2 linked regions of the Xenopus tropicalis genome follow. The protein of the gene in region 1 purifies or fractionates together with the protein of each later gene. This does not show direct contact. Links are inferred from orthologs where the notes say so. Each region holds a gene or a part of one and is shown on either strand. Other genes may lie near its edges.

The links. Proteins that work in one complex are often made in the same cells at the same time.
Region 2: the proteins of egln1 (region 1) and ptges3 purify together in Homo sapiens (affinity purification with mass spectrometry; 5 studies listed by BioGRID and IntAct, with this or other methods). This does not show direct contact. The link is inferred for Xenopus tropicalis from reciprocal best matches to the Homo sapiens genes EGLN1 and PTGES3.

The regions. Positions count from the first base shown.
Region 1 is NC_030681.2:57,944,774-57,948,273, forward strand, and holds part of egln1 (egl nine homolog 1), read left to right. Parts: intron 1-1,477; coding exon 1,478-1,614; intron 1,615-3,500. UniProt on the Homo sapiens protein: Cellular oxygen sensor that catalyzes, under normoxic conditions, the post-translational formation of 4-hydroxyproline in hypoxia-inducible factor (HIF) alpha proteins.
Region 2 is NC_030678.2:138,781,377-138,785,661, reverse strand, and holds the start of ptges3 (prostaglandin E synthase 3), read left to right. Parts: upstream 1-1,485; 5' UTR 1,486-1,590; coding exon 1,591-1,592; intron 1,593-4,072; coding exon 4,073-4,186; intron 4,187-4,285. UniProt on the Homo sapiens protein: Cytosolic prostaglandin synthase that catalyzes the oxidoreduction of prostaglandin endoperoxide H2 (PGH2) to prostaglandin E2 (PGE2).

The DNA of each region.
Region 1 (3,500 bases):
CACAGACATGATTGGAAAGGCTGCATGTGGCAATTGGGACACACGGTCCCTTTTATTTGTATATAGACATTGAAACAAACTTCAGCCATCACCCATCAATTATTTTAAGTGGCTATTTATGTGTTTTGTCTTGTCCGTAACTTGTTTTTTTTTTTTGCTTTCTGACTAGGAGCCCTACTTTCAGATTCTAGAAAATAAATTATCTAGATCTGGGATCTTTTGTTTTGTTTTCTGGTCTGTTATTTAATCTCTGCTCCCTTGTGTATCACTACATGCTGGTCTGTGTCCTGGAAGATATAATTCAACCCTTTCGCTGCCGGCCAATTTTGTCACTTGTAGAACTTTTATTTAAATTTATATTCCAGGAAAACTATATATCAGGACAACCTAAGCTTTCTAAATATGCTATGAATGTTTGTGTAATTCCACTTCTGTAACAAGATATAGGCTTCTAAATGTCTAAAAAATAAAAAAAATATATTTTGCATAATATAAACACATACACCAGAAATATAAATTATTTTATGCATGAAAAGTCCTGTGTCTCCTGAATGCACCAATGCCAAATATTTACAGTTTTATGGAGATTTTTCATTTGTTTAGGGCAAAAACTCCCAGCAGTACACTACCAAGATTTCAAGGCCAAAAATTCCATCAACATTAAGTTTAACCTAGAAAACTATACATTTTTGGAAATAATAGATTCTGATTAATCCAGAATACGTAAAACTTGCAATGCTTTGCTAAAGTTAGGGTTTTTATAAAAAATTTAAAATTTTTGAAAAATCACTTCAAAGTTTCCAGTCTATAGCATATTATCTCCTACAGGTCATAAGGTAACCAAATAAAACATCCTGTATATGAACATTAGGGGGCCCCTGAACAGTTGTATGGAATGTAGGCCCCTTGAATGAAAATACATATGATCTATCATTTGTCATTTCAACTTCATACATTTACATAATTTTATGTAGGATAAAGCTACAAAAAAGTACACTCACCCCAGAAAACCATATTTTTTGGGAAAGTACACATTCTTCCAAAGTACACTTCAAAGTATCAAGCCACAAAGCTTTCCTAAAGTTGGCGATTTTGACTGAATATTTGAAAAAAAAAAAATAAAAAATAATTATATATATATATATATATATATATATTATATTTTTTGTTTTGTTTTTTTTAAAAAAAAATATTCCGTTGTTAGTGAACTTTATGCCTTGAGTGAAAGAAAATGAATTTGAGTCTTTATTTGCTAAAATTACAGTACACTCGTGTGGGAAAGGATTGCAGATATGGCCTCTTAGTTCTTTCTACAGCATTATACAATAAATAAATGGATACCTAGTCTGATTGCAAAAAAAATTTCTTTGATGTGTCTTGCATAGTGTGATATTGTATAACTAAAAGAAAATTCTCTCTAGAAAAATTCCCTGCTGGTCGTTGTTATATATTAAATACTGAATGTAAATTTTTTCAGACACATGGAGGTTTACTTCGAATTTTTCCAGAAGGCAAATCCCAGTTTGCTGATATTGAACCAAAATTTGATAGACTTTTGCTCTTTTGGTCTGACCGTCGCAACCCTCATGAAGTTCAGCCAGCTTTTGCAACAAGGTAATTCTTGTTTTAACATTTTTAATTTCATTTAATGATAACACTATTACTATTGTGTTTTCCCACTCTTCTGTAATTACGGCATCTACCAGTTTAATATGCTGACCTCTGTTCAGTTTGTCAAATATCAAGACTACAAGAGGGATAGGTAAAAAGGGCAGGAGACCTTTCCCCCCACCCTTCTTTTTGTATTCCTGACACACACACTGACTTTCTCTCCCTTGTTTTACTTTAATTACAAAATGGCACCATGTACAAATCAGCCAGTAATTATAACAAACTGTTTAACCATTACTGTGTACAAAATACTGTGCTGATTCAAAATTGCTGTAAAAGGTTCACAATTAATGGAGAAGGAAAGGCATTTTACTGCCAATAGATTAGTAACAATAGTGCAAGCTAGAACGCTATATTTATTCTGCAGAAAGCTTTAGCATACCTGAGTAAACAGCCCTAGAAGCTCCCTCTGTCATTTTAGCTTAGTCTCAGTAGCTTCTCTGCAGCTCTAGCTGCGGGTAGCTAAGATTACACAGCATAGTATGGAGGGGGAGCAAATTCTGATGGGAGGGGGAGCAGGAAAGTGGAGAGGGAAAGAGGAGCAAACTTGAGCAGACGTGCCCCTGCCCTGAAGAATTTTTCTGAGAGCAGGAAGTTTGATACTGAAGGACATGTGTACAAAAAAGAAGAAAGAAAATTCTGTGTTACTTTTGATATAGCTTTTCTGTGAGTGCTTATGGCTGTATTTACATTTTACTTAGTTTTTACCTTCCCTTCTACTTGTTTTTTTTTTTTAATTGGAACACTTTAGAAACTATGAAGCCAAAAGAGCACTAGAATATGGGGTGATTTTGGGTGTTTTGCTAGTAGCATTTATAGCTTGCAAATAATGAAGTGGACAGTACACCTATGATGGTATTTGGATAAACTAGAGTCCTGCTTTTACATTACTCAGACAAGAGACTTACAATAAAGAAACAAAAGTGTTAGTATAGATTGTGACTGGAAGATGTGTGTGTGCGTGCATGCAACTTAGTAGGTAATGTTTTGTAAGGAAAAAAAAAAACACATGTACACCTAGTTTATCCTTTTGACCTATCTTATATTTGATGCTGAAGAAGGCAGAAATTTCCCATCCAAAGTCCCTCTGAGTTGCCTCCACTTACTAAAATGGAATCAAACCGTGTGTAGCATCTGTAATATATATGTCAGTATAGCTGCTTTGGCAGCTACTTCACGCAATTTTTAGCGCCTGTGACCTGGGATGCCATCGGGTTTTACAAGTAGATAAAACAATCCTATGGGGTATACATAGTAACATAGTAAGTTAAGATGAAAAAAGACATACGTCCATAATGCCTGTATATAACCTGCCTGACTGCTAGTTGATCCAGAGGCAGGCAAAAAAAAACCATCTAAAGCCTCTCTAATTTGCCTCAGAGGAGGACAAAATTCCTTCCATTCATGTTTAAATGATTTTTAGCAGACTAAGGGGCTGATTTACTAAGACACGAATTCGAAACCGAATTGGAAAAATTCCGATTGGAAAACGAACATTTTGTGACTTTTTCGTATTTTTTGCGATTTTTTCGGCGACTTTACGACTTTTCGGAAATTATTTTTCGTTACCAATACGATTTGCGCGAAAAAACGCGAGTTTTTCGTAGCCATTCCGAAAGTTGCGCAAAATCTTGCGATTTTTTCATAGCGGTAAAACTTGCGCGAAAAGTCGCGCCTTTTCCGTAGCGTTAAAACTTAAAAGGCGCGATGTTTCGCGCAAGTTTTAACACTACGAAAAAATCGCGACTTTTCGCGCAAGTTTTAACGCTACGAAAAATCGCAAGATTTTGCGCAACTTTCGTAATGGCTACGAAAAACTCGCGTTTTTT
Region 2 (4,285 bases), on another chromosome or scaffold:
AAGGTATGGTGTCCACCGTTTTGTCCCTACTCAACAGAGTATGGGCAGGTTAAAGACAGCCAAACAGCACAGCACCCCTGTGAAGAGTAGTCTGGAGAAGTATCTATGCCCTCAGGATGTGTAGCAATCAAGGATCCTAAACAGCCAACTATGGATCAGGGATAACCTTATACCTGTGTCTTAACCACGGTCCTATATTAAAGCAACAATGCCTGTAGGGAAGAGTACTTCCAGCTAATCTCTCCTGGTTGGAGCCAGAAACTGCTCTTTCTAACTAGACTATCTCACTTTCCTAGACAGTGCTTCTAAAGGTATTATCCTGATTCTTGCTTATCCTCATTCACTGGGTCCCTGTTCTCCGACTTCACTAGAGTTATAGATAGACTCTAGGGTAGATGGATTACTGGGGCCCTATTGATCCCAGGCTCAGTGGAACTTGAGTCAATGGATGTAGCCAAAGAGAAGGATCCACCCCTTTGCTAAACATATTAGAGTGCAAAGGGAGTGGTGTACCTATGAACCAATAAGGCACAAATGCTAATATCATAGCATACTCGGGAACTTTGCCCAATAACAGGAAGATATAGGAAATGGTGGGGCTTAAAGCCATAGGGGCATATTAACCCTATGGGTCCCTACACTAAATCCCTGGTTACTAGTGGTTAAACTCAGCACAGGGTCCGAACCCCTTTGCACTCCTCGGTGGGGCGCAAGACTGCCATCTACATATCCTATTCTACTTTTTACTCCCAGAGCAACTATAACAATACTAACTGCTAAAATTCCTGAACTAAATCCTGCAGGCACCTCTCAGTGAGGTGAAATCCTAGGGAAGACACAAGCACAAACGAGCTCTCCCTGTAATAAGTTCATATACTGCCACCTACAGGGCAGGCTCTAGAATAAGTCTCAAATTTCTCCTGTCCAAGGGAAGAAACTTTACACATAAATGTAGAACCACGCTTAAAGCTCAGTTAGCTGGCCAAACTCTCAAGGAACTGTTTAACTAAATCGGAACTAAATTGAGAGCCCCTAACTATACACTATATAAATATACTGTCCCTGAATAACTCATGGTTGTTACTTTTCTTTTTTACCTTATGCCATAACCATTTTACCATTATAACCATAGTGCATACGGATAGTTTTCTTACTTGGACGACTTAGGATATGTAATTGTAACACTGTAGGAGTTTAAGTATCTTAAATCATTTTTTTTTTATTACGCACTGCTTAATTAAGGTTGCTTGGGTATAGCAAATTCCACCATAGTGCCATATATTAGAAGGCAGAACATTCCAGCAATTACCAGACGCAGGTAGCGCCGCCATGCAGTGCCTCAGACAGCCGGTAGGCGGCTTTAGCCAAAGATGCGCACGTAGTGCCAGCCGGACGTATTATCGCGAGAGTAGGCGCCATCGGATTGTCGGAATGAGCGCGGCACAGCCTATTCCAGTCCCTATTGCTCGGTGACGTAAGGCAGGCCTGGAGAGAGAGAGCGGGGAGGAGCGGTAGTAGCTGCAGCTTAGGGTGCAGCGGGAAGTGCGTGAGGAGAGCGGGGAAAGAGCGCCGAGCTAAAAGAGACGCAACATGTAAGTAGCAGCCATGGGGCAGTTCCAAGAGGCTCAGGGGATGTGAGAGCGGGAGTGTGCGGTTGTGACGGCGGGACCTGACCATCACAGGCCATGTTGCCGACACTGCCATGCAGGAGAATGGTTTGCTCAGTCAGGGCGCCCAAGGAATGGGGAGGGGGTATGGTTATTCCCATAGCCGGGAAGGCTCGCCTGTACTTGAGTAGGGTTAGAGGGGCGGCAGGGAGCGGGTTACTGCCCGTAAGGGAGGCTGCGGTGAGTGTCGGGCTGTACCTTCCATTACTAACACGTGTTGGCTGCGACCGGCCGGCGGGCCTCCCCCTGCTTCCCTCTGACTCCCACTGCCTCCCTGTACTTCCCCCTGCCTCCCTGTCTCCAGAAGCTTCTCTCGGCGGTAAGGCTTCTGAGCCTGTTGCTTCCGAGGAGCGCCATTGCCTTCATCCGCTAATCCTCTTATGTCGGCAGCATGGATCTGTGTCGGCTCGGTGCTAGTACGTGTATTACAGCCCGAAACGGCAGCCGAGCGACCTGTGCGACATCGCTCCTCCGTGTGGCCTGTAAGACCGGCATGTCTGCCCTACGCTTATGGGTGTCGCCATGTCTGCAAACAACATACTGCCCCTTCCTTTGTTTCTCCCTGGCATTCGGCATCTGTTCTACCAGCCGCGCCATCTGCCCACACTAGGTACACAGAAGCTTGCCCCTGGCATGGCTACCCATCATGCGGCTCAACTGCAACAATCAGCAGGCACGTTAGTGGCTGGGGCTGTTACACCATACACGTTCTGTTAATTAGTTCAATTAAATAAACTTCCCATCAGCGGCACAGCCAGTGGCTTTCTGTAGAATGTTCTAGTACATATAGTAGGCTGTGTAGCTTGGGTCCTGCCCACCTGTTAGTGCTGCTTGGGGAACATTTACATTTCAAACAAAAAAGAAAAGATTGTGTTGATTTTCCCTGTATCTAAACAATAGAGCTTCAGGCTGGTGATACCTGATCTCTTAGCTTGGCCAGTTATCTCAGCCTGTTAATAGGAGCTGTTAATATTAGTTATTTGCTGTATGTTAAAATAAGGCTGCTGCAAGATTCTTCCAGTTGTTTTATAGTGAAGACATTACAGGATGGATGGGGTTTAAATATTTGTACAGCTCCCAGTTTTTATTTTAAAGGAACAGTAACACCAAAAAATGAAAGTGTATAAAAGTAACTAAAATATAATGTGCTGCTGCCCTGCACTGGTAAAAGTTGTGTGTTTGCTTCAGAAAGTCTACTATAATTTATATAAATAACCTGCCATGGAGGCAGCCATTCAAAGGAGAAAAGGCACAGGCACATAGCAGATAACAGATAAAACACTATTGTATTCTACAGAACTTATCTGTTATGTAACCTGTGCCTTTTCTCCTTTTTTCCAGCTTGAATGGCTGCCCCCGTGGCTACACAGCAGCTTATTATATAAATTATAGTAGTGTTACTGTAGCAAACACAGCAGTTTTACCAGTGCAGGGCAACAGTGCATTATATTTTTATTACTTTAAAGCTCTTTCATTTTTTGGTGTTACTGTTCCTTTAATAAGTTGTAGGGTTTTCCAATCTATCAAGATTACAATTAAATATGAAAGCACAACCCAGCAGAAACACATACTAATACCTTCTAAAAATTGTTAACACAATTGCAGAACAGATGTTCAAACTTTGCCCCACAGGTAGCCAAGTATTAAACAGGTTACCTTTAATTACGTGTAATGTCTTGTAGGCTCATACCCAGTCATACATGCAGTTCACCTTTATGTAAATTTTTTTATATCTTATGGTCTGTCCTGGTATTGAATTATTTGCCAATTTCCAGGGATAACTGACCAAAAACACTTCTTTGTGCGGCTACAATTTTGTTATTGATACTTTTGATTACTTCTTTCTTTTTTAGCCCTACTCATCTTTGGGTATCTCATTTTAAACTGTTGCTATGTGGACCCCAGCTACTAAATAGCTGCTGAAGTTCTAAACTGTAGAGCTGCTTAACAAAAAGCAAATTAAACATATAAAATTATAACTGTAAATTTTCTCCATCATTGTTTACATCATATAAAAATTAATTTAAAGGTGAACTCAGATTCTGTCCAATCAATTAGTGTGACAGGTGGATTTTTGCCAGAAAACACTGAAAGGTGTGCATTCTTGGTAAAAACCAACTGTTATCACTGGTCATTGGCTGTTGTAATTCAAAAGCTGACAGGCTCATTAGTGCTGTTTGGGCATTTCTCTGCTTGCATTTTCCAGCATGTGTCATGAGCCCACTGTCTCACTATTGGGTCCTTTTGGCTATCTGCTTTCTCAGAGGTATACTATATCATTTTTGTTACATGCATCTTTATTAGCATGTATTTTTATCCAAATAAACCACAACAAACAGGGGGAAGATATATGTATGCATATGAGATTCTGTTAATATAAATATTATTGAACAATTTCCTTGCAGGCAGCCAGCATCTGCAAAGTGGTACGATAGAAGAGACTATGTCTTTGTTGAATTTTGTGTGGAGGACAGTAAAGAAGTAAAAACAGACTTTGATAAAAATAAATTAACATTCAGGTAAGTAAATTTGCTGTTTTAAAGGTCATCTGCTTTAACAATAAAAAGCTGTTTGAAAAAATAAACTTGTACATATGTTCTAGTATGGCTTCATAAGTG